Linked DNA regions of Lepisosteus oculatus. The protein of the gene in region 1 interacts with the protein of each later gene in a biochemical or structural test. Links are inferred from orthologs where the notes say so. Each region holds a gene or a part of one and is shown in the gene's direction. Other genes may lie near its edges. The genes, in order: myog and csrp3.

Region 1 (12,555 bases):
ATTGCAAGTCACAGCTCTGCATCAGTCATGTCAATGAAAAGCCAACAGGTCAAGTGCAATGACCATTTTCAACATGTAGTATTTCCTTCCAGCTATCTCTCTGTCAATAGTCCCCTTTTTTCTTTAGCTGTGAAAGAGCATAGAAAAACATATATTTGTAGTGGCTTGTGATTTCCTAAATGTGAATTAAGTTATGTACAGATACCTGTACAGAGACCTGAGAGAGAATTCTGGAAACTATCAAAGTCAAATTCAAAATAATCGCATTGGCAAAAGCATTTACTCATTTACAGTAGGTCCTTCCATTTACTGTGGGTAATTATGCACGTGAGAAAGGAAGTCATTCATTCACTAATTTACAGTTTACAGGAAGCTGCATACACATACTGTACAGTACCTACACTGACACAGACCATCAAAGCTATATTCATTTATCTGACCTCAAGTTTTCTTATTTTACTATAAGTATTGCCAGAATAAAAACTTGAAATAACGTAAAATAAATTTATGCTTTCTCACTGGTACTGTGCATAACGTCTTTGTAGTAGGAGACTAAAACTCTTAAAAAAAGACTAAAAAGATTTATCCATGGCCTCAATCTCCAAGTATATAATGCAATATCTTTGCCTATACTGTATGTAAACTATACTCAAGCACTTTGAATTTAACTTCCATCAATCTATCATTGGTGAATAAAAATCAACACCTTCATTTTCAGAGTTAAATGTTTTGTCCCACACTTCAAAGATCCCTGTGCTCTGCAGTTAATGTCTGATGATTGATGCACATACCTTACATTTTTTAGAAGGCAAATTCACACTTTGCCCCTTGAAATGACTTAGGTCACAACAAAAGATAAATAAGTAGATATATTAATAGACATCAATATTTATAGTTTTAAAATAACGTTTGATAATAAGAAACACATTTAAAAATATCATAAACATATTCTTATCATAAAGCAAAAATACACTCAAGATGTTTTCATTTAACAAATAAAGGAATAAAAAATGCTAAAGATTAGACAGACGGATCTAACTGATCTTTTGCATTCACAACACATTTTCTATACAAGTCACATGTTCTATAGCACACTTTGGATGAAATTTAATCTGAGCAGTCAACGGATCATTTGACAAAGCAAATCCCATAGCAACAGGCAACTTAGAAGTCAAAAGCAGAAAAGCTCTAAACACGGTGGAGGCAAGCATCTGTCGCAGTCATTACAGAGGCCAGCACTCTCTTGGAAGCAATAACGGAGGGCATAATATTTTTCTAGGGGTCGGGAGCCAAGTATGAGAGAAGAGAGCACATTCCATAGCTAATGCGGCCACGTTCTGGGCATTTCTTCACAAGAAGCTAATTCACCCGCCACAGCTGTCTCGCAATGCGCTCCTGCTTGTCAGTGATGAAGCAGGAACACAAGCAACGACAAGTCTCCGATCGCGAGAAGAAATTCCTAAAGCTGCTCTCTTGGTCACTTCTTCAACTTGGTATCGACAAACCCGAACCGTTAAAAAACCAGAAGCCATTTAACTCCACGGGCAAACCTTTTCACTTCCTGTTTTCTTCAAACACCTACTAAGCAAATCAATATTACTATTTTCATGGCTGACATTTTGTATTGTACAAGGAAAAATCAGCTGCGGATCCAGTATTGACATGCACTAGCATACTCTAAATTGTACATTTCAAAAGACAGATTCTCAGACTTGGAGCAACTTGCTTACATAAGTTAGCATTTGGTAGCTCATGTTCGGTGGGACTTTAGATCTGCAAAACCACAGGAAAGACTGCCATGAATCACCAATCATGAATCAACCTCACAAACAAAAGTAACCCCTACCACACAAAAGTGACCACGATAGGATTTTGAAAAATGATTTACAACTGCAAACACTCAGAAAACTGGCAGTGATATAAAACACACTTATTGGTAATAAACATATCTATCTTCTTGAGTCTGATTAGTTTTACTAGGTTGATCTTTGTCAGACACCAGTAAGAGACACAACCTTTTAACACCAAAAATGCAGCATTAACTCCCTTCCTTCTGCTTTAGAACCCCAAGGTGCACTACAGTATATTTTTGCTGCACCCACTGTCCTTACAAAACACAATTCACTTTGATTTGCTGTAATTTTCTTTAAATGTCTTTTCTTTAAAAGGCTGAAGACAAAACGGGTGTGGAAAAGAAATTGTTAGAGGATTTTGGAATTTGGTCTCTGTACTGGAAGAGAAAAATGGACCATATTTTGCACAAGAGCAAGAACACTTTGAAAGTGGTCCTATCAGACTATACTGTATGGGAGTACAAAAACCACTGTTGGAATATGCAGCAAAGCTACAGAATTATCTGGATGTAATTTTGAAAAATGACTCTGTTATTTTACTTTCGTGTCCAAATGTTGACATTGCGCTGATTTCTATTCTGGCAGCGCCGAAGAAATTAAAGAAGCTAAACAAGGAAATATACAGGCTAATGAAATGTCAAGTCACTGTTACCATTTGTTTCCTTAAGTGACAAAGAAGCTGCTTTGCTAAGAGACGTTTCATTTAGCGAGAAAAGTGAAATGGTTGACATCTATGTTCTGAGGAAGCCAGACATAGGGTGGCACAGTGGTCAGCATTCCTGGGGCAATGGGTTCAATTCTTGGGGTGCTACTGTATCTCTATGGAGTTCTCCATGTGTTCGTGTGGCTATCCTCTGGGTGATCCAGTTTCCTTCCACCATCAAAAGACATACAGGAAGGTTAAATGGCTTTTGTAAAGTTGGCCCTGTTATGTGTGTGCCTTGCGATGTCCCAACCAGTTTGTATCCCACCTTGTGCCTGTTGTTTGCTGGGTTAGTCTCCAGCATCCTCCGTGACCCTGAATTGGATAAGGCAGTTAGAAAATGGATGAATGGAAGGTTGAGATGACAACTCAAAATTTAATAAAAAATAAATCCATATAAAACTGACTTAAATATTATAAGTTCAGGTGGTTAGCTGCGTCAGCATGTGTAGGCTGCAAAGGAACAAGTGATAGGTTTATCCCATGCTGAAAAAAAGAAGAAAGAAAACACAACATTTCGGCCGTGGAGCCTTCTTCAGGTGTTATTATTAAATTATATTAAATATAATATAAATATAAAGGTTAAATATTATAATGCTGCTCTGGAACCCAGTGGCCAAATGTTAAGGTAGTAATGAGTGATTATAACACACTGAGAGGACCCCTCTCCAGTACAGTAATGTCTTTGTACTGCCTCAACCATCAGTGACTATCCATCACACTTTAAACTGACAGCAAACAGCAGAATCACTTAATCCATCAGGCCTGGGCTGAGTTACTAAGGGGAGAGGACAAGCTTCTGGGCTGCAGTTTGCAGAGATAGTGAAATCTGACTGGCAGGGCTAATGCACTTCTGAACCAAGAGCATTCATGTTCATTTAGAGGGTGCGAAAAAAAGTTACACAGCCAGTATTTGAATAACTGTGTAGTGTTGAAAGCCGTTAATAGTGAGTCCTGTTAATCAGATAACTTAACTGGGATATGTCTAAATCAACAATAGCTGCACTGCATTATTATCTAAGTTCAGGAAGAACACAGAGGAGATATTAACTGTCAACAATTAATTTACTTCTCTCTGATTTCAGTGAGCAGTCATCATGTAGTATTACAGATCATCTTGGTGGAAATTCCTAATCTGGTGTTCAAGTTACATCAATTAGTGTAGAGCTGATTGGAGTCATTTGGTCTAAATTATTGCATGGATCATTGATAGGGAGTTTCTTCCAAAAAATTAATTTACTTAAAATAAAAAAATGAAAACCCTCTTTTATTTTACCAAAGTGTGAAGTTCTGGCAATCAGCCTCATAAAGTATCTTTACCTTTTCTTTTCTAAATGGATACACTTTCCAAAAGGTCTAAAGCTTTAAAAATGGTTATATTGTATACGAGATGGTAAAAAAGACAAAGGAAATTGATTATTGTAGCAATAGATTTTGAAACAAAATAAAAAATGGGAATCAATGCCTTATTAAGACTGCATTCATTAGGGTTTGGGTAATTTGTGTACAGTGCATTACATTTTATTTAACTCTTTTTGCTTGAAAGAACAAAGCTAGGGTCCTCCTATCTTTTAAAAGACTGTGTCACTATTCCTTGAACCAAACCGCCCCAAAACCCCCCAAGAGATCAAGAATGAAAAGAGATGTAAAGTTTGGATGTGAGGCAACAGCTAAAAGTGGGATCAGGTTTCTCTGGGCTTCTCTATATTTAACCCAGTGATCTAATGCCAAGCAGAGGGTTTAAATGCCACCAAACAGTTGGTGTGAGCAGTTGTTTTCCACAGATCCTGTGAACACGAGCACAAATTTTCAGACCAGCAGTGGCGAGGAGTGGAGAGTGACCTTGCACTGGCCAGAAAAATGGAGCTTTTTGAGACCAACCCTTATTTCTTTCCCGATCAGAGGTTCTATGAAGGAGGTGAAAATTTTTTCCCCACCCGGCTGCAAGGTGCTTTCGATCAAACTACCTACCAGGAGCGACCAGTGATGGGACTGTGCTCTGACAGCAGGTTACTGTCCGGCACGGGCCTGGAAGACAAGGTGTCCCCAGCGGCCAGCCTGTCCCCTCAAGAGCACTGCCCCGGCCAGTGTTTGCCTTGGGCCTGCAAAATCTGCAAGCGGAAATCCGTCACCATGGATCGCAGAAAAGCTGCCACCCTGAGGGAGAAGAGGAGGCTGAAGAAGGTCAACGAGGCTTTCGAAGCGCTTAAGCGGAGCACTCTCATGAACCCCAACCAGAGGCTCCCTAAAGTAGAGATCCTGCGCAGTGCGATCCAGTACATTGAGAGGCTGCAGGCGCTGGTCAGCTCCCTGAACCAGCAGGAGAGAGAACAGGGTGGGCTCCACTACAGGGGCTCTGGCTCCCAGAGGGTAAGTGAATGAAGCAGAGAGGGAGGTCCGGCTGTCAAAGCAAGTGCACCGTGCAGGGTGTGTCCTGTCACTGACCTGCAGTACTCTGATGTTACTGAGGGGGTTACTGTAAACAAAAAATAAATAACAACAAAAAGTCTAATGGTAATCACTACCTTGTATGGTTTGACTAGTCCTTTCAGCAAGGATCAAGTTTTAACAGCTTTCTACAAGTATCAACAACAACAATAATTATCACTACTGTAACTCAAAAAAACATGTTCAAATGTACAATGTCTCTGGCTTTGATGAAATAGAATCTATTTCAGTGGGTTAATGGATTTAGATTTACTAAAATTTCATTTAACTATCCATTTGCAATGCACTCTACATTGGTGTTTTGAGTATTATTTTAATTGTAAAGTATTTTAAATGTTATTTTAAGGTATTTTTTTAAACTAACACCAATTGTCCTTAAGGAATGAAGGCTTGAGAAATCCAACAATAAGATCTGAGTACATGATCTCAAAAGAAATATGGATTTTTAAATAACAGGGCTACAAGCACACAAGATGATCATTGTTTTTTTCTTACACCTGAAATTACTGTCTTTTACCTTTACATTAGTCTCAGTCTTATTTCACTTTGTATTTATTGTAAACAGTACTCCCAGACCTCCTCACTGGTGCACAGACATATCTAATTAAAAAACATAAACCTTTGACATATTTTCCCAACTTTAGTGTCACTAAATTAAGACCTACAAACAAGTCTGATTATCAAGCCCTTAGAGAGCTGAAACCTAAAGTATAAATCAACTATTTAGTTTAAAAGAGAATAGCTAAGCAAGAAAACATTGGATCTTTAGCAGAAAATGATTACAACAACAGATATGGCAGTGTTTAGATGCAGAATATTTAAGAACATGTTTAATAACAAAGCATATTTAATAATAGTGTTTGGTGTCATTACAGCATCAGTGCCAGTGTTTTGAATGACAGTTCTCCAATTGTAAACGTTTTGGGTTTAAGAGTAATTAGCCTTTTGTTGTAGTGTATGCAATTATTTTATTGGAAACCAAATGTAACCACCGGAAGACACTTTTTTATACTGGAAACATCATACAATTTAAAAAATTCAATGTATTTACCAGGTCTGAGGGACAGCACATATTTAGACAAGCAAATAAAAAACACTGGTCCTGTCCTGTACTGTGCCTCCTTAATAGGCTAAGGAACGTTTTTCAAAAGTGCCAATAATTATCTTAGACTTTATTATTCAGACCATAAAAATAAAATGAAATAGAATATCAATATTAATGAACAAGTACTATTTTCTACACAATCTTTTCAGTAGTAACATTGTTCAGGACACATGTTTTAAAGCAGATGTGTAGTATATATTATAGCTCTGCATATTGTTTTTTATACTATGTGTTGTTGTAGAATTAAGTTAAAATCATTTTTTTTTATTTATATGTGTATGAAGTTTGAATGACATAATGTTGTCTTTATCTTCTATTGCAAGCCAAGTTTTAACACATACTGTAAATACAACACTTTTTATTCAGTTTCACTTGACACTATGCTATCTAAACCGACTTATTTTAAAAAAAAATAGCATACTAATTTAGTATGGACATACATTTCATCTGCCTGGCAAAGAGCCCTGGATTCCCGCTTGTTCTGAGAAACCATCACAAAACTAACAAATAATTGCAAATGTTTTACCCAAAAAATTAAAGACCTGAAACCCATAATCTACAGTATATGAGCTAATTTTATAAGGATAAAGATCTTTATATTTTCAGGAAACCTCCCAGACAAATTCAAGACAAAATGAAAAAAAAAACAGTTATATGAGTCTTATTGGTTGATAAGGTAAAAGTTCCAGTTATTCTTTGGGGAGGAAGGTCTTGCTTGTACTTGCTTGTGTGATATAGTGCTTTGTTTCAGCCAACCCTTAGCTGTTTACGTCCAGTGAATGAAACTGACATGCCTGACTGTGTGATGTCAATGTGTTCCTGGCGGCAGGTGTCGTCTTCCAGTGAGCAGGGCTCTGGCAGCACCTGTTGCAGCAGCCCGGAGTGGAGCAGCCCCTCAGATCACTGTGGCCACGCATTCAGCAACAACCCTGAGGGTAAGGCAGCAGTTACGCAGCCTGTGGGCGTGACAAGGGTGTGCTAGGAGCTTCCTACTGCAGGCATTTATTCTACATGGATATCTCTCGAGCTTTTCTGTTAAGGTCATTTTGAACTTACCAAAAACAAAACTAGAGCATTCAAGCCTCTCATTTTCAAGGGTATTCTGACTAAGCCAGGAAAAAAAAAAAAACATCACATATTAACCAGGATTATTTTTTTGTACGTTCTCCTCTCATTTCCCTGTTTTATAGAAATGTAAAAAACATTTCTAAATTTTACTTGAAAATAAATAAAGAACTTGTCAGGGATGCAGATGTTGTTAGGAGTTTGATGTCTAATTCCTGCAAGAAAAAGTGAAAAAAAAACAACTAAATTGAAATAGAAATGTTCTCTAAATGTCAATGATATTACTGTATAATCATTCAACATACCAACATATTGGTGAAAGAAAATACTGCTGCTAACCAATAATTATGATATAAGAAAACAGCAACAATATGGTAGAAGCTGACAATACATTAGTATAACTGAAGCAAGCTTTGTACTAAACTTATTATTAAAGATGGAACATTCTTGTTTTATAGCTTACAACAAATAATTAGGATTTTGAATATAATGGTAATTAATCCATGACAGGCAAAAAGCGCTGGATTCCTAATTGTTCAGGGACTGAATTATGCCAACAAATGAGAATGAAGGATGTTTTGCTTACTAGCTACTGTATGGCTGTGTCCCTTATCTGGATACAAACACCACTGGGGAAGCTGTAAATGAGGGAAATGCAGTTATTTAAAAATGAGGCAAGTGCTGAATTCCTACATTTTTCAGAAAACATACCTCCGTTTATCATGTATTACCATCAAAACAGCACACTAAACAATTTAACAAGCCTAATCTTATGTCTGCTGGTTTTTTTGTCGATGCCACAATTTTTCTCTTAATCACACTTTACCCATCATCCTTCCATGGTACACATACACACATGTAATGTGCAACAGCTCCTTTTCCTCAATAGGCATGTTTTAAAAATAGTGTCGTTTATTCCTTCTTAATTGAAGACACAAGAATTGATCATTGTCACCCACAACACAGCCTTGTGAATTCAGTCATTCCTTGAGTAGCTGATAATTTCTTGTACTATGTGTGTGATATAATTGTGCTACAGAGCACAATTAGAAATAAGGGAAAACAGCTAAATGAGGACACATCCTCATCATATTTTTTATACTTGATATTTTTATATTTTTTTAGACCTTCTTAATGAAGACTCTTCGGAACAACCCAACCTTCGGTCTTTGAGCTCCATAGTGGACAGCATTACTGTGGAAGGCACAGCGGTCACCTACCCAGGGGATATTTCCAAATGAGAGCTTTGACGGAGCCGAACACAAATCTTCCAAAGAACCAAAAGCACTCCTGAGAGTCAAGAACCACAAAACATGTCAAATCATGACTTAGTGGTTTCCTTGTACAAAATGTGTGGTCCATTTTTTATTTTATTTTATACGTATAGATATGTGAAGTGAGAGCTTTAACGATTCTAACAGCTCTTTGCTCCTTAACTTAATATTGATGAGTTGAGATCATCCTTTAAAGCATTTACCTTTTGGTCTTGCATTTTATTTGTGTGTGTTTTGCTTAAAATGAATGGTTATTCATGTGGGGCCAATATTTTATACTGCAGTTTGACCAATTTTTGCTTAACTTAAGCTAGAAATGTGGAAGAAAGTGATGTAAATATGTGTCTTTTTTACAGAGTGGATTTGCTATTTTATTTTTTTTGTTAACTTATTTTGGATTTTTATAATAAAGACTGATGTGTATTTGTATTTTCCAAGTGTCTTGTTTCTGTCTCTGATTATGTTCAAAAGAAATTAAACTATGTTTCATTGTCAAGCCTCTTTATCAATTCTACAATGACGTGTTAATGTTATTACCAAGAATGTAATGGTGATATTCATATAAATCTAATTAATAAATATTAAATCTAATATTAAACTGTTTGATCAAAACCTAAATTAATATAAACCAGTCTCAGAAACAGTAGCAGCTTAATTTGAATGTGTACAGTATACAGTATGTTTTTTATACAAAGTATTAGAAATAAACTCCATTTATGGTATACATACAGTACAGTGCCTTGCGAAAGTATTCGGCCCCCTTGAACTTTTCAACCTTTTGCCACATTTCAGGCTTCAAACATAAAGATATAAATTTTTTATTTTATGTGAAGAATCACCAACAAGTGGGACACAATTGTGAAGTGGAACGAAATCTATTGGATTTTTGAAACTTTTTTAACTAATAAAAAAATGAAAAGTGGGGCGTGCAAAATTATTCGGCCCCCTTGCGTTAATACTTTGTAGAGCCACCTTTTGCTGCGATTACAGCTGCAAGTCGCTTGGGGTATGTCTCTATCAGTTTTGCACATCGAGAGACTGAAATTCTTGCCCATTCTTCCTTGCAAAACAGCTCGAGCTCAGTGAGGTTGGATGGAGAGCGTTTGTGAACAGCAGTTTTCAGCTCTTTCCACAGATTCTCGATTGGATTCAGGTCTGGACTTTGACTTGGCCATTCAAACACCTGGATACGTTTATTTGTGAACCATTCCTTTGTAGATTTTGCTGTATGTTTGGGATCATTGTCTTGTTGGAAGATAAATCTCCGTCCCAGTTTCAGGTCTTTTGCAGACTCCAACAGGTTTTCATCCAGAATGGTCCTGTATTTGGCTGCATCCATCTTCCCCTCAATTTTAACCATCTTCCCTGTCCCTGCTGAAGAAAAGCAGGCCCAAACCATGATGCTGCCACCACCATGTTTGACAGTGGGGATGGTGTGTTGAGGGTGATGAGCTGTGTTGCTTTTACGCCAAACATATCGTTTTGCATTGTGGCCAAAAAGTTCAATTTTGTTTTCATCTGACCAGAGCACCTTCTTCCACATGTTTGGGGTGTCTCCCAGGTGGCTTGTGGCAAACTTTAGACGAGACTTTTTATGGATGTCTTTGAGAAATGGCTTTCTTCTTGCCACTCTTCCATAAAGGCCAGATTTGTGCAGTGTAAGACTGATTGTTGTCCTATGGACAGACTCTCCCACCTCAGCTGTAGTTCTCTGCAGTTCATCCAGAGTGATCATGGGCCTCTTGGCTGCATCTCTGATCAGTCTTCTCCTTGTCTGAGCTGAAAGTTTTAGAGGGACGGCCAGGTCTTGGTAGATTTGCAGTGGTCTGATACTCCTTCCATTTCAAGATGATCGCTTGCACAGTGCTCCTTGGGATGTTTGAAGCTTGGGAAATCTTTTTGTATCCAAATCCGGCTTTAAACTTCTCCACAACAGTATTACGGACCTGCCTGGTGTGTTCCTTGGTCTTCATGATGCTCTCTGCGCTTTCAACAGAACCTTGAGACTATCACAGAGCAGGTGCATTTATACAGAGACTTGATTACACACAGGTGGATTCTATTTATCACCATCAGTCATTTAGGACAACATTGGATCATTCAGAGATCCTCGCTGAACTTCTGGAGTGAGTTTGCTGCACTGAAAGTAAAGGGGCCGAATAATTTTGCACGCCCCACTTTTCATTTTTTTATTAGTTAAAAAAGTTTCAAAAATCCAATAGATTTCGTTCCACTTCACAATTGTGTCCCACTTGTTGGTGATTCTTCACATAAAATAAAAAATTTATATCTTTATGTTTGAAGCCTGAAATGTGGCAAAAGGTTGAAAAGTTCAAGGGGGCCGAATACTTTCGCAAGGCACTGTACATATCAGTCCTTTCTCATACTTCAAAAGATGAATTTATTGCACATTTTTCTTTTTTTGCAAATTATATCCCAGTTTCAGACACGTTTTAATGACAATTGAAACTGCTTAAAAGAAAATGACAAACGGATGCAACCAAATATATATATATATTTCTTTGTTTTTTGCTCCCACAATTTCAAGCACTCATAAAGATCCACAGATAACTAGGCTGGGAAGAGACATTTCAATCAACAAAACAGACATTGAGAAGGTACATTACATTAAAAGAGAAATTAATTGGTACTCTATCAACACATCAATGGGAATGCTGGATTATTTTAAAGCATAGTGTGAACATAGAAATACTGGAGCAGCTCCTGTCAATACACAACTAATAAGAATTGCGCTTCTGAAGTGCTTAACTTGTATGGCAACAGGGGCAACATAACCCATCAGTGATGTATAAAAAGTAAAAAAAAATCCACAAGTATATGAAGCATGCACATTGCACCGATTGCTAAATCCAAGAGACAATATCCAGTTTGAGAGCAGAGAACAGGCATATTCAGGTGTAATATATCCCATTAGAAATAGATCATATTATTAGAATAACTTGTTTGAAATTTTTCAGGGCCTAAATACCCTCACATTTCAGCAGAACATTTTCAACTAAAGTTAGTCAGAATATTCCAAAAGATCCCAATCAATCAAATAAATATAAAAAAAAAACAAATAATTAAAAAAACAGCATCTTCTGTAAATACACTCCTGCAACAGTCTATTTGTTTTTGCACTAGCACCTCGCCAAAAAAGAGCTCTATCATTTCTGAGATCCGGTACTCTCAGGAAATTATTAAAATACATAGTGGGCACTGTATCCCTAATGAACCATGATTACAGAAGTGTCCATTGTCACAGACATCTCACAACACTTAGTTTGTTTCTATTGTTTAGGCACATAAAATATAGCATAGAACATTTCCTTAAGTGAAACCTGTTTCTTTGTATAACAAGTATTTGAAAGGTGGCTTAAACCTTGAGAATGATATTCGATTATTCTCACACAAAAAAGCACTTCCTTGACACTAGGAACTTACAGTGTACATACACCACAACTTACAATGATATACCATTATTGCATGTGAGATAAGACACTCCACTTTCCCACGCTTTAAAAATGTTGATGAAATATATATTTAAAAATGTTGAGTTCATAAAACTGTAACATGCTCTAGTAAGACCTCATTGAGAATATTGTGCACAATGTTTGTTGCCATGATACCAAGAAGATGCTGCTACAATTCAGTTCAGAGAAGAGCGACCAGGTATACTGTATTCAAACTGACAGACTAAAAGAGCTTAAACCTTTTTAGTCATGAATGGTAAGACTATGAAGGAACCTGATTCAAGTATTAAAAATCCCTAAGGGCAAACTCATCCCATTGGACTTCTTCATGAGTAAACAGTAAAACATGATCCATAGGACACAAACAAAAATCAAGGGGAAACACATTTCAAGATGAGAACATGAGGTAAAAGTGAACAAAAATGGTTGTGAGAGTCTAGAACACGCTACCTAGCCATGTTTTTGAAGTCAAAGCCCAGGTTTCTCTGATTAAAAAAAAGTCCAGATTCATAAACCATTTAGCTATTTAAAAAACAAATTACTGTAGGTAGATGTTTTAATTTATATTCTCATTTTAAATGTACAGTATTTATGTTCTAAACCACAGACTTTACAAATTAATGAAGAAACAACT
Region 2 (12,533 bases), on another chromosome or scaffold:
GATTTAATTACTCATTTGTGTCTCCGTCCCCCAGGAACACTTTGGCGACGATTCTGACAAACTTCAAACAAGCCGGAAAGAAAAGAGTTTGGGGTTACTCTGCCACAAATTCCTAGCAAGATATCCTGATTATCCCAACTCTGCCCTCAACAATGATATCTGTCTTGATGAAGTAGCTGGAGAGCTTCGTAAGTTGCGATTTATGTTTCAGTAGGCCATTATCTGTCTGGAGGTTCCATGTTTAGGAAGTGATTCTCAAAAACAACCACAAAGATAAAGACAGAGCTAACGAGAGTTACATGCCAAGTTACTGTTAATTTTAAAATGTCGAAAACAATTGCAAATCAACAGATGCACCACAAGCAGAACCAGAGCAGATCTGTTGTGTAATTTTACGAACAATTAGATGGGAAAACCTAGGAAGTCTCTGAACAGCCCCAGGCTGCTAGTTAACAATCCCGGGTTTGCACTGTGCTTGTACTGTACGTCACAGGATTCCCACAATAAGATATTTCATTCGCCTTCGTGGTGCTGCTCTTCAACCCGCGTCTCGCTTATAAATCCGGATTTTAAAAAAGAACCCGCGTTGTGATCACACAGATGTGGAGCGCCGGCGCATCTACGACATCGTCAACGTGCTGGAGAGCTTGCACATGGTCAGCCGGCTGGCCAAGAACCGCTACACCTGGCACGGGCGGGGCAAGCTGGCGCAGACCCTGGGCATGCTGAAGCAGGTGGGCGAGGAGCACGGGTACTCGGCGCAGATGCAGCAGCTGAAGCAGAGGAGTCACGAGAGGGAGTTCGACTCGGACGCCGAGGAGAAGGAGAACGAGGACGTGCGGCAAGCCGGGGGGCTGGATGGCGACGTGGGGCAGAGGGAGATGTTCTTCGTGGAGCTCCCGGGGATGGAGTTCAGGGCAGGTGAGGCTCCGCGCTTCAGACACGCTCCCTTTTGTCTGTGTGCGAAAATGAGCATGGAGAGGAAGAGGCTTCCAACAGCAACTTTTTGAAGAAATTAAGCTCACAATTAACTCTATTAAATCTTTCCCCTCAAAGCATCTGCTTATTTCTGTCTGGCTGAAATGCTTTCACAAACATTTGAAAAGCTAAATGGAAAACGGAAGCCGTCGAGGTGTTAAATGCAGATTTACAACCTATGACCACAACCAAAATATGAGATGAAGAAACTGGTTTTTACCTCAGAGTGAAGTGTCATACGTATACATGGAAAAAAGTTGCTGCTGTATAAAAAAAAAAAGACCCTTGTGTCTAAGCAGAGAACTACACTAAACAACAGAAACCTCACTGCCATTTCCTTTCTGCTTTCACAGCTTCGGTCAACAGCAGGAAGGACAAGTCGCTGAGAGTTATGAGTCAGAAGTTCGTGATGCTGTTCTTGGTTTCCAAGCCCCGCGTGGTCAGTCTGGACATCGCAGCTAAAATTCTCATCGGAGAGGATCAAGTGATTGATTTGGATAAGAGCAAGTTTAAAAGTGAGCAGTATTTTATTTATCTGGATTTCCGTTTTATGACGCGTGCTCGGTTGCTCTACAATACTTCAATAATTCGGGGACCGCATGTGCTTATGGTTTCCACTGCATCTATTCCAGCAAAAATCCGGAGGCTGTATGACATCGCTAACGTGCTGAGTAGTCTGGAGCTGATAAAAAAGGTGCACGTTACAGAGGAGAGAGGCCGGAAGCCAGCATTCAAGTGGACAGGACCTGAGGATTTCTTATGTGTTAAAGGTACATTTTTAATGCTATAATTTACTGCAGTTGTTTAATATGATCATACTACTTTTAGTCTTTAAGCTTCATTTTGCTTATTTTTTCCTTTTTCCACAGATGAAAAGACATCATCAGCTGCCACTTTAGCTACATCCAAGACATTAGAATCCAGATCCTCCATCGAAAATTGCGCCAAAAATCTCTTCCCTTCGTCCAAGACAAAGCATAGCTTCACACGGCACCCATCTCTTGTCAAGCTAGCAAAGAGTATCCAGGATGACCGAAGGAAAATAAACTCTGCACCCAGCAGTCCTGTCAAGATGAAAAGTAAGTGTTAGGCAGTACAGCAATACAGTGGCGGGGCATATCTTTAACACAAGTAGGAAGCTGCGTCAGCATGCGTAGGCTGCAAAGGAACAAGTAAAGGTTTATTCCATGATGAAAATAAAACAACGTTTTCGGCTGTAGAGTCAGATGGCACTTGAAGAAGGCTCCCCAGCCAAAATGTGTTTCTTTTTTTCTCTTTTTCAGCATTAAATAAATCTTTACATCTTTAACACCTACAAGTCTGAAAATAAATGATCCCCCAGATAAAGTGAACTACTGGACAGTGATACATGTCACAATGAAGCAAGATGTCTTGCTACACAGTGCCTTACAGATCATCACTGGCATCTTTTATTAAACAGGAAACAACCTCTTCCAGCAAACAGACTAGAATACTGAGCAATACATTTATAAGATGTTAGCTTTTAAATATTGTGTAAATTGTGATGGATTATGAGCAAGTATATGGCATTTAATGTCCCTTTTGCACTTTGTTTTTTTTCATTCTTTACACTTATCTCCGTATCCTTGTTTCCCCCAAGACTCGACCGATCCTGAATGTTACCCAAGCAGAATGGCCCAGCTGGCAGCCATCTGCAAAATTCAGCTTGATGAGCAATCAAGGTAAGTTCTAACTAAGGTCATTTAGTGCAATATTTCTTTTCTGTAATGTGGAAATGTTTCTTATTTCCTTATTTAACTTGGTTCGGACAAAGCATCAAACTTTGGTTTTTAATAGCCTTAATGCATCTAAACAAACAAGTAATAGGTTTATTCCATGCTGAAAAAAAAGAAGAAAGAAAACGTTTCGGCCGTGGAGCCTTCTTCAGGTGAGAAAGACAAGACACCTGAAGAAGGCTCCACAGCCAAAACGTTGTTTTCTTTCTTCTTTTTTTCCAGCACGGAATAAACCTATTACTTGTTCCTTTGCAGGCTACACATGCTGACGCAGCTACCCACCTGAACTACTTAATGCTAATACAGTGATAATGCACATACACACCAAAAAACAGTCACCATGGGGGAATCAAAACTTCATTTGTTCAATGCAACTCATTTTTCTACCTCATGAAATAAACTGCTATTTACTTTTGTTTTAGGAAAAGCAAGAAGAAACCCAAACAGACTGTGACACAAGCTCAAAAACAAAAAGGAAAAGCCACCAAAACATCAGGAGCTGTTGAGCAACTAGTAAACGCAGAACAGCAGGATACCAACTCTCAGGCTAAGACCCTTGCGCCATCTACCAGAGCAGTACCTTATCTTCACTGTCAGTATTCTCCCCTCATCCCCATGATACTACCTCAGAACCAGACTGCTGGACCATGTGCTATATATGTGCACTCTTGTGCGCGGCCAGTAGCTAATCGCTCCAGCCTGGCTGTACGATCCATGAGATTTGAAGATAAAGGTGGGGAAAGTCCACCTGACGCTGGCTTAGAAATCCACTGCGACAGGACAGCTTCAGCTTCTGATCCAGAAAATGACTCCTCTCAAAAGAATTGCCAGTCGCCTTGTTCGCTGAACAGTCCCAAGAGGGTCTATAAACGAGCCTGTACTGAAAAGCTTGAAAACTCTTCTCCAAAAAGAAAGAACACCCAGACAAATTCTAGGGTATGTTTTCCTCTTTCTATTTTTGATTCTAAGGGTGTTTCCAGAGCTACAGATAACCTAAAAATATTAGCTACGTTCATTGTTAGCAACTGTCATTCAGAAAAGTTAATTTGTTATATTACTTAAAAAGTGCCTGACCAATAGGTTTAGTCAAGCGTTAAGGAAAGACGTATGTAACTCTCCTGCTTGGTTACCGATGATTCGGTGTCAATTTTCTCAGATGCGACCCGAGAAAATGCTCATTCTTAAGTGAAATTCTCTCCTGATTTTTATCATCAGGGTTCGTCACCCGGTGAAGCAGAGCTATACGAACTCTACCTGGACAAGCTCAAGGCACGCAGGGGATTGGTACCCAACAGACCTTCGCCTAGAGCCTTGCACTTAGATCCAGAGTTTATCAATACCCCGGAGAACAAGGGATCAGAGCAGCTTGACGAAAGTGTGGAGACATTCCTGGAAAAAGAAGAGAAGCTTTCGTGTTCCGACAGCGAAGCAGGACTTACTCCTATACGATCGGTCTCCGTGCCAGAAATCATGGTGCCTTCTGGTCATCTGCACCCTGAGGTAACCAAAGTTTGATATTTCCGTTCCAAATGATATCCACGGATGGGAAAATGTGTTCTGACCATTGATTTTTGTTACATCTGTTGTTCCAGGCACTAGTGCCAGCCGGCTATCTTATTCCCATATCGCAGCAGTCCCTCTTCAGCCTTCAGAGGTCGCGGTCCCCGGACGGAGAAAGCCCCAAGCCCTCAGCTTCACACCACAAGGCTTACCAACCCCCTGTCACAGGTACCGACACGGAGCGAGAAAGCTCACAAGATAGCATTGGAACTCCCGTGTTTCGGAAGTGGTTGAAACCCATTTGACTACCATTCTGTCTTTGCCCCCCTCCCCCACAGGGGCCCTACCTGTGATGTCTTCAGAACTCACCCCTACGAGCTTCACATCGCACGCCACGTTTCAGCACCCCAGCCCCTCCGTCTCCCTCGCCTCCTTTCCAGTTATCAACCAGTCGAGCCCTTCTTTTGCCTCCGGGCAGCACGTGAACAGCCCCAGCCCCGCAATACTGAACTTCACACTACAGAACCTCGGGCTGATCTCGGCTGGAATCCCGCAGGGTGCCAGCCCTGGCACTGTGGCCACCCCCCTGGAGCAGGCCAGCCCCGTCCCAGGACACCTGAGCTTTCAGCCAGGGGGGATGATCTTCATCAAGCCTATGTCTCCAGTCCCGGTTCAGCCTCAGATGCCTGGACAGCATGTTACTTTGATCAGTTTACAGCAGGTGAGAACTAGGACTTGGTTGTTCAAGACCTCTTAAAAGAAGAGAGACAAAAAAATGTTTCACGCTACTATATAGTAATATGCAGTTGTTGATGTAACACATTGTAAATTATTAAATATTTATAGCAGCAGTGAAATACAAAAAAGACGTGCAAACTATGTAGAAATTATTTTTAACCAGTTACAGAAGCAGTCAGAACTGTTTATGTAAAGCATGAATTAACATTAGAGTAAAAGTATCCATTACACACCTTGAAAACTTTGAATCCAAGTTATCAGCTGACTGTAACTGTTTTTATTTTCAAACAGCCTCTTCTGGCAACGCCCAAAGCATCCCAGTGTGCTCAACAGAGCTTCTTCCACACCCCAGTCTCCACCTTGTCTCCCTTGGCTGCTGTGGTCTCGTCTAGTCATTCGTCTCACGAGAACATTTACATACCGCAGAGGAAACTTGAAGTGAGCACTGAAGAAACCTGAAGACTGTAGCAGCAGACCCTCTCTGCACTGTTTTTTTCTTTCATGAGCTGCAAAACGATATTTATAAAGCTTTGACAATTTGACTGTGTGAGTGGGGGGGTGTCCCTTTGCACAAAGGGGTACGCTAGTTCATATTAAATTATTTCTAGGTCCTAAGCACAGACGTGTTCAGGTCCTGCAACACCTGCAGTGAAAGTCATTAAAAAGTTTTGTGGATTTTACAAAACAGATGGATATACCTTCTGAAGACTACAGCCCCTGCTACCAGGTGTCCTCTAATAAAAACTGCAGCATGGAAAAACTTAAAATATAGGGTACCTGCAGGTTTTAGAGTAGTTACAAAACAGCATACTGTATGTACTCTGCTATTTACTTCTTGCAGTTTCTACTGAACCAGACTTGTGCCCCATGATCACTGAAACTAACTGGGCTTGAAAACCTGCAAAAACACAAATACAGTTTACACTGTACATCTTAAAGCACAGACAATGTTTTAACAGTTAATCAACATTTCCACAGGATGAGAAAACATTCACACTGAAGATCTCCATCTTTAATGTTAAACACTAGCTTTTTATACAGTCAGTGCTGTAGCAGAACTGGAGTTTTAAGCAGGAAGTGGCACAGGACCTCGGACCCAATGCATTAATGTACTGCATAATTTTCCAATGCCCATTTAGGATATTCAAAATATGCATGTAGGAATAAACTATGACAAATGTTTCTTATTCAGTAATACAAGTAGCCTTAATAGGACAAATCAAACCGATACATGGATGATTCATGTTTTGCATGTTAGCAAAAAGATGTACGGCACAATGACATTTTGCACATTTTATATGTTAACTGTTACAGTTCTTTAATTGGTATCTATGAAATAAAGATAAAAAATGAATGTATGGGGAAATTTCCTATTAGTGTAATCAGGTGAATTATAATTTCATTAATTTATAGGAAGGATTTTCTTACATTTGTCAATGATCAAAATTGTTAACCTGGACTGCTTTGGTTGGATTGCAGTTGAATTAATTTGATATGTACACATTTACTAAGAAAATAAAGGGGGATTCTTTCTGTTTTCAGCATACAACACCTGTATTTCTTTTCACTGATGAAAATTTCTTAACTAAGGACCCTTCAATACAGCCTACAAATCTGACACATGCAGCTGCCTTCATATTTACACACATGCCCATATTTATCATGAGAACAAATGGCACCCCTAGGGACTTACCAGTTCCCAGCACAAAGCAAAGGATTTGTCAGAAGTTATTTTGGGAAGACCGCTTAATTTGGATGTCAGCTACTGATACCTCCTATAGCTGTGAATGAAAGATGTCCAGTATTTAAGGCTGCCTGGTTTGACATCAACTCAAACCCACCGATCTAAGCAACAGAGAAGGACTACTGGACCCAGGGATCTCTATTTTGTAAGTCTTGGTATTGTTTTACAAAGACTTTCTCATAAAGTATCACAGAATGTCACGTCAAAATATTGAATTCCGTGCTATATCATGAGTTATGTTGGATTAACTGGTTGTAAAATACTTTTGTATTGATTTTGGTGTTAGTAAATTGTAGTGGCAAAATTCCCGTCTCGTCCAAAATATCATTAGAGTTGTGTTTTTAAACATGTAATTAAACCGTGAAACCATTATGGTAGTCCTGATGAAGTCCAGCCGAATAGAATAAAAAACCTGCATACCAGTTAATGTTTTAATAAATTCTTGCCAATATCGTTTTATCTCGGGAGTTAACGTTACATATGTTACTAAACTATTTTTTCCCCTCAAGTCGATTTGTATATTTCGGGAATGAAGCCTCAAACTGCATGAAATCATCTAAATATTTACCTTTAAAGAACCATTGGCATAAGTTCTTCAGTACGTAACTGTGGTCTTTGTACAGACCCTATTCCTGGACTCTTATCGCGGCATTCCAGACATTCAAATTGCTTAATGTCGCTTAATCAATGGAGAGAATAAGTAACTTGCGTGTAGTCTATCAGTCACCCGATACCTTATCGCTCATTTGGGATAAAACTTCACACACATCAAACACTCTTCTGTTCATTCTTATCACTATATAATAAATTGATCATAACGTTTTAAATAACGGGCTAAATTGATTTATTTTCTAGTTGTGTCTTGACGTGTACAAAAACTTGGCACTAATTAATATTTGCCACGCAATATACAATTAATAGTAGATATGTATTACTAAAAGAACTTGGTATACGTTTAAAATACGTTCAATGCTCTGCGAATAAAGATTCAAAAGCAAAATGCTTTTAAGGCCATGAAAATGTCATAACACGCTAAAACACCTTAATGCTAGAACATTTAGAGTAAGCATGCTTGAAACGAATCCCTTATAAAATATTTTTTTAAGTATTAATGGTCTGAAAACGCGGTTCCAATGAGGTATTTAATGATGCGAAGTTGGTAAATACTGTTGTTTCAGGATACAGGTACTGTATGTTGTGCGGTTGTGTGATTTTTCTCTTTTCCAGCAGATCGTTTGAAAAAACAGATTTAAGATGCCGAACTGGGGCGGTGGAGCGAAGTGTTCAGCCTGTGAGAAAACGGTTTATCACGCAGAGGAGATACAGTGCAATGGAAGAAGTTTCCACAAAACCTGCTTTATCTGCAGTGAGTCCTCCGTTTATTCACCACTAATGGTCCACACGGACGACACTTCTCCGTCGCTCATTTTTGTCTTTGGGGGCATTTGGGATGGGTCTGTGCTGAGGGCGCAGGGAATGAACTCTAAACCAAACGTTTGCCCCTTTTTCAAAAAGGCACGCAAATCCTGCGACACCTGTTTCAAGATGTCATTGCAGAAAACAGACGAGCATACAGTAGTTTAGAGACGCCAGTTAACCTAAAAAGCGTGTCATTGTACTGCGGGATGCAGTCGCCGCACAAAAGCACCCCTGGGCTCCGAATTGAAACCCAGGATTTAAGAGCTTGCAGGGCAACAGACCTATCCAGCTCTTCATCACGTGTTATGAACTGTAGCCCATAATTAAATTGCAAGTCTGACATTTGGGCTGCAATCGGTAATGTCATTGAATCCCAAATGTCCGTGTAATTAATTGCCGTTCAGGCTGTGCTCCGTCTGTTGCGGCAAATTAAAAAGTTTACCCTCCGAAACAAAAATGGAATTAGAAACCAGGTTATACTGGCCAATAGCTCAACATCAACAGCGGACAATTTTGCATGCAAGGGAATTTGGAGACTGGCACAATATTAACTAAAATATCTGTTATCTTCACAGCGACCTTCTTTGGCTACTTAACAACGTAGCACCGAGGTGTGGAAATCACCAGGGCTCAATCTGAATGATGCTAGCTCTATCTTTAGCAGGCCAGGCAAAGGTCATGTGTGACATTTATAAATAGCTTTCATTGTCAGGTTTGACGCCATTTTATTTTTGTGACCACGATAAGTCAAGTTTTTAACTAAATTTAAATTTACCTTTTGGCTAGCAAACGGTACTTTTATGTACAACATACCCCAGGATGAAGCATCATACTGACAGGCAGCGACCAAATAAAAAAAACAACAACAACAACAACAACAAATGTTTTGCAGCTCCCGTCTTCTAAGAAAGCTTTACCTTTGTTTCTTCTAGTGGTCTGCAGAAAAGCCCTTGATAGCACAACGGTAGCAGCACACGAGTCTGAAATTTACTGCAAGACCTGTTACGGGAAGAAGTATGGTCCAAAAGGCTACGGCTATGGACAAGGTGCGGGAGCACTCAGCTCAGACCCCGGAGAGCACCTGGGGATTCAACCGCAAGAGTACGTGAAGGGAATTCATCCAGCAGATCAAATACCATTTTCAATTTCCTGTTTACCTAAACTACAGCACTAAATAAGTGTCCCAAAGTCCAGTGCCAAATGCGCAAAAGTGTTCCTTGTACGCGAAGTCATCCGCGTATTTTTGGAGCTCACTTTGCAACTTCAAAGGCAATAGTCAGCTTCTGCGTCTTCAGTAGAACCGAGTTTAGTCAAATCCATCAATTGCCCTCTGCAGCGTAATACGTTTTTTTTTCCCCTGAGGTTTATCAAGTTAATATGAACTACACACTTCTCCAAACGGTTCGAATTTTGCCAGGACGCCTGGTTCAACCGTGAAACGCACCTGAGAAGCTACCGGACTGAATGCGTCCTGAACAGACCCGGAGTAGTGATCAGGGTCACCTGGAAATTATGTTTGAGACTGATTTGCTTGAGGCAAAATCCTCCGACGCTCAAATATTGAATGGGAATCACTCCATCTTGTTTTCGTAATGAGCAGATTTTAGTCTCCTTAAATAGGAATGGCCTAAATTCAAAGGGATATTACTTTACAATACATTCCGAAAACACGGAATACCATGCATAACAAAAATCCGTATTTTCAACCTTCTCAAACCGAGAGATTATTAATTAAAAGTAATCTACTACAGTGACGAGCTACACGTGTAAGTGATTACATTTGAGAATAAACCAAGACGTTGGGGGGAAAATCATTTGAAAAGCCATGAGTTAGAGATCCATTTTACGTGTGTATTGTTACTATGTTGTAAAATGTTATATTCCGTCTTAAAACTTTAAAATTATTATTTCTTTTAAAAATTAACCCCTTACATTGCTTGTTACTTGTAACCTTAATGGATTACCCCATAAATGTACCATTCCAAAACCCTGATTATATCTGTTGGGAAAATAAGGTACACAATTCTAATGCAGATGTAAATGCAAAGTACTTTGTGTATGTTGTAATAAGTCGCGTGAATCCTTTCATTTTTCTCAAAGACCAGGATGCACCACAATCACAAACTAGCAAATTACCCTGGAGTAAAAAACATGTTTTGAGCAAAGTTTCTCAGGTGAAGGTGTCTCAAAACAGATTCCTATCATACATGCCTAGGCTTACCCAAAGTACGAAGTGATTTTAAAAACAAAACTGAAAACAACAAAACATATATCACTCCTTGAATGAACACAACACACCTGTTTCTATGTGTTTTTAAAAAAGTACAGCTATTTGCCAACCACTGTTAAAAATACCATTTCCAATATTTCACAATATTTTTGTGTGGGTATAGCCTCAATTACTTTTTAGCCTCTCTTCTCAAGTTTGTGAAAATGAGGTCAGTTCAGGTTTAAGGGTAGGTTAAGGGCTATGGTTGGGGGTATAAACTAATACATAAGCCTTATGCCCACAACTGCAGTTGGACAAATAACCATTGACTTTTATAGATGCAATAAAAATTATGTACTAACACATTTTTTCCCACCTCTTTGGATTAGATCAAAGCCTCATCGCCCGACAGCGAACTCGAACCCCAACAAGTTTGCTCAGAAATTCGGAGGCTCAGAGAGATGCCCGCGCTGTTCTAAGGCTGTTTACGCTGCAGAGAAAGTCATGGGAGGAGGAAAGGTACAAATATGCACAGCCGGGTTTCATTCAAGAGAGGATGTAAACTGTTGCTTTTGGAGTCACATCTGCTGAAGAAAAGCCATGCTCATACCTACAGAACCTACAGAACAGTAACAGGTTTTTTTTTACATTTGTAACTTTGAGAATGGCTACAGTACATGAAGCACAAACTCTCCAGCTGAATGAGAACAATAGCAAGTGTCTGTTGCTCGTTCATTCATAAACAGAATCTCTGGGATAAAGCAAATTTGTTTGCTCCAGGTGTCATCGATTTGGACGTTTGTGGGAGTAAATACCAGCGAAGGAAGTGTGCTACATTTATAGCACACAAAGTAACACAAAGTTTGTTGTTTGTGACTCACCCACTTGTTTTTAAGAGTAGCGAGTTTGGCCCACGGAGAAGATGCCTCTATATGTGATTGTGTCTTGTTAAAAGTTCTCATTGTAGAGGCTTGAAGTTAGAGCATCTCGAAAACCTAATACATTCAGTATGAAGTTTCAAGCTTGGTACATACAACTGTATAAAGATAAATAAAAATGGACAGTATTCATAAAGTGGCGCATTTCAAATCCACAGCTCACTAACATCTGTTCACCTATCTGCAGGGGTTAAATTATATGAATAATATATTAATTATTAGCAACTTTTATGGAAAATGAAAATTATTCACTCAGAAAAAATAAGTGTGATAACTGTTGCAATTGGTCATTATTGTTAAATGCCATAATGAAACGAAGCCCAAATAAAATGATCTGTTCTGTGTGTTCAGCCCTGGCATAAAACATGCTTCCGCTGTGCCCTCTGTGGGAAGAGTCTGGAATCTACGACAGTGACTGACAAAGATGGAGAGATTTACTGCAAAGGTATAGAGAAGACCCCCACATTTAAATAAAAAACACACATTAGGAATATACTAGTTTACAACATTAAATCTTTAAATTAAACAAATAAATAATAGAATGTAGAGTATTTGTAAGGCAATTTGTAAATGCCATAATTTCTAGAATAAGTAACACTATTCTATTTATACTAAGCTTTGATCTTTTTGCCCAGTCTACAAACAATGGACAACCCATTAAAGTATAGCATAAGCCAAAGAACAGTTTAGTGTCAGGACAGTTAAATCTGCACAATTTCAAATCAAATTCCTTTTTCAAAAAAAAAAACCCTGGATAAAAGGTTCCTAAAAATGAACAATGTATTGAAATTAATAACATTCTAAGAGCATGATTAGAGAGCCTCGTTAGAGTAAAGAAGAATGCAGATTGCCTTTCAATTCCTAGAACTAACATGAAGACTTTTAATAACCTTTTCAGTGAATCACAGTCCTTATCTCTACCAACCCTCTGCCAGCTGTCAACTTAAAAAAGTCTGCTGTTATGTGCTGCTTACACCACGATAATTTGACCCTAAAAAGTCTATAACAATCACTGCTGTGTTCTGACCAATAGTAGACTCAACATGAAATTCCTATAAATATTACAGTTTAAAATACATGTAATGACAGGTTCTAGTCTACCCTAAAGGAAAGGTGGTTCATCGGTTGTAGATCTTCCTCACATTTCCTTCTTTTTCTTTTTCCCCCAGTTTGCTACGCCAAAAACTTTGGTCCAAAGGGAATGGGTCTTGGAAATCTGGGAGCTGTCGAAGAAAAACAGTAAACCAGCA

What was found.
Region 2: the proteins of myog (region 1) and csrp3 form a complex in vitro, tested with the Homo sapiens proteins (2 studies listed by BioGRID and IntAct, with this or other methods). The link is inferred for Lepisosteus oculatus from reciprocal best matches to the Homo sapiens genes MYOG and CSRP3.

What each region holds. Positions count from the first base shown.
Region 1 is NC_090700.1:33,456,840-33,469,394, reverse strand, and holds myog (myogenin), read left to right. Parts: upstream 1-4,300; 5' UTR 4,301-4,416; coding exon 4,417-4,926; intron 4,927-6,938; coding exon 6,939-7,044; intron 7,045-8,299; coding exon 8,300-8,415; 3' UTR 8,416-8,895; downstream 8,896-12,555. UniProt on the Homo sapiens protein: Acts as a transcriptional activator that promotes transcription of muscle-specific target genes and plays a role in muscle differentiation, cell cycle exit and muscle atrophy.
Region 2 is NC_090716.1:7,306,869-7,319,401, forward strand, and holds the start of csrp3 (cysteine and glycine-rich protein 3), read left to right. Parts: upstream 1-6,714; 5' UTR 6,715-6,862; intron 6,863-7,944; 5' UTR 7,945-7,971; coding exon 7,972-8,083; intron 8,084-9,068; coding exon 9,069-9,237; intron 9,238-10,734; coding exon 10,735-10,864; intron 10,865-11,634; coding exon 11,635-11,728; intron 11,729-12,452; coding exon 12,453-12,526; 3' UTR 12,527-12,533. Other genes in the region: transcription factor E2F8, read left to right, coding at 35-188, 601-921, 1,332-1,493, 1,611-1,748, 1,848-2,057, 2,600-2,681, 3,158-3,671, 3,951-4,235 and 3 more. UniProt on the Homo sapiens protein: Positive regulator of myogenesis. Acts as a cofactor for myogenic bHLH transcription factors such as MYOD1, and probably MYOG and MYF6.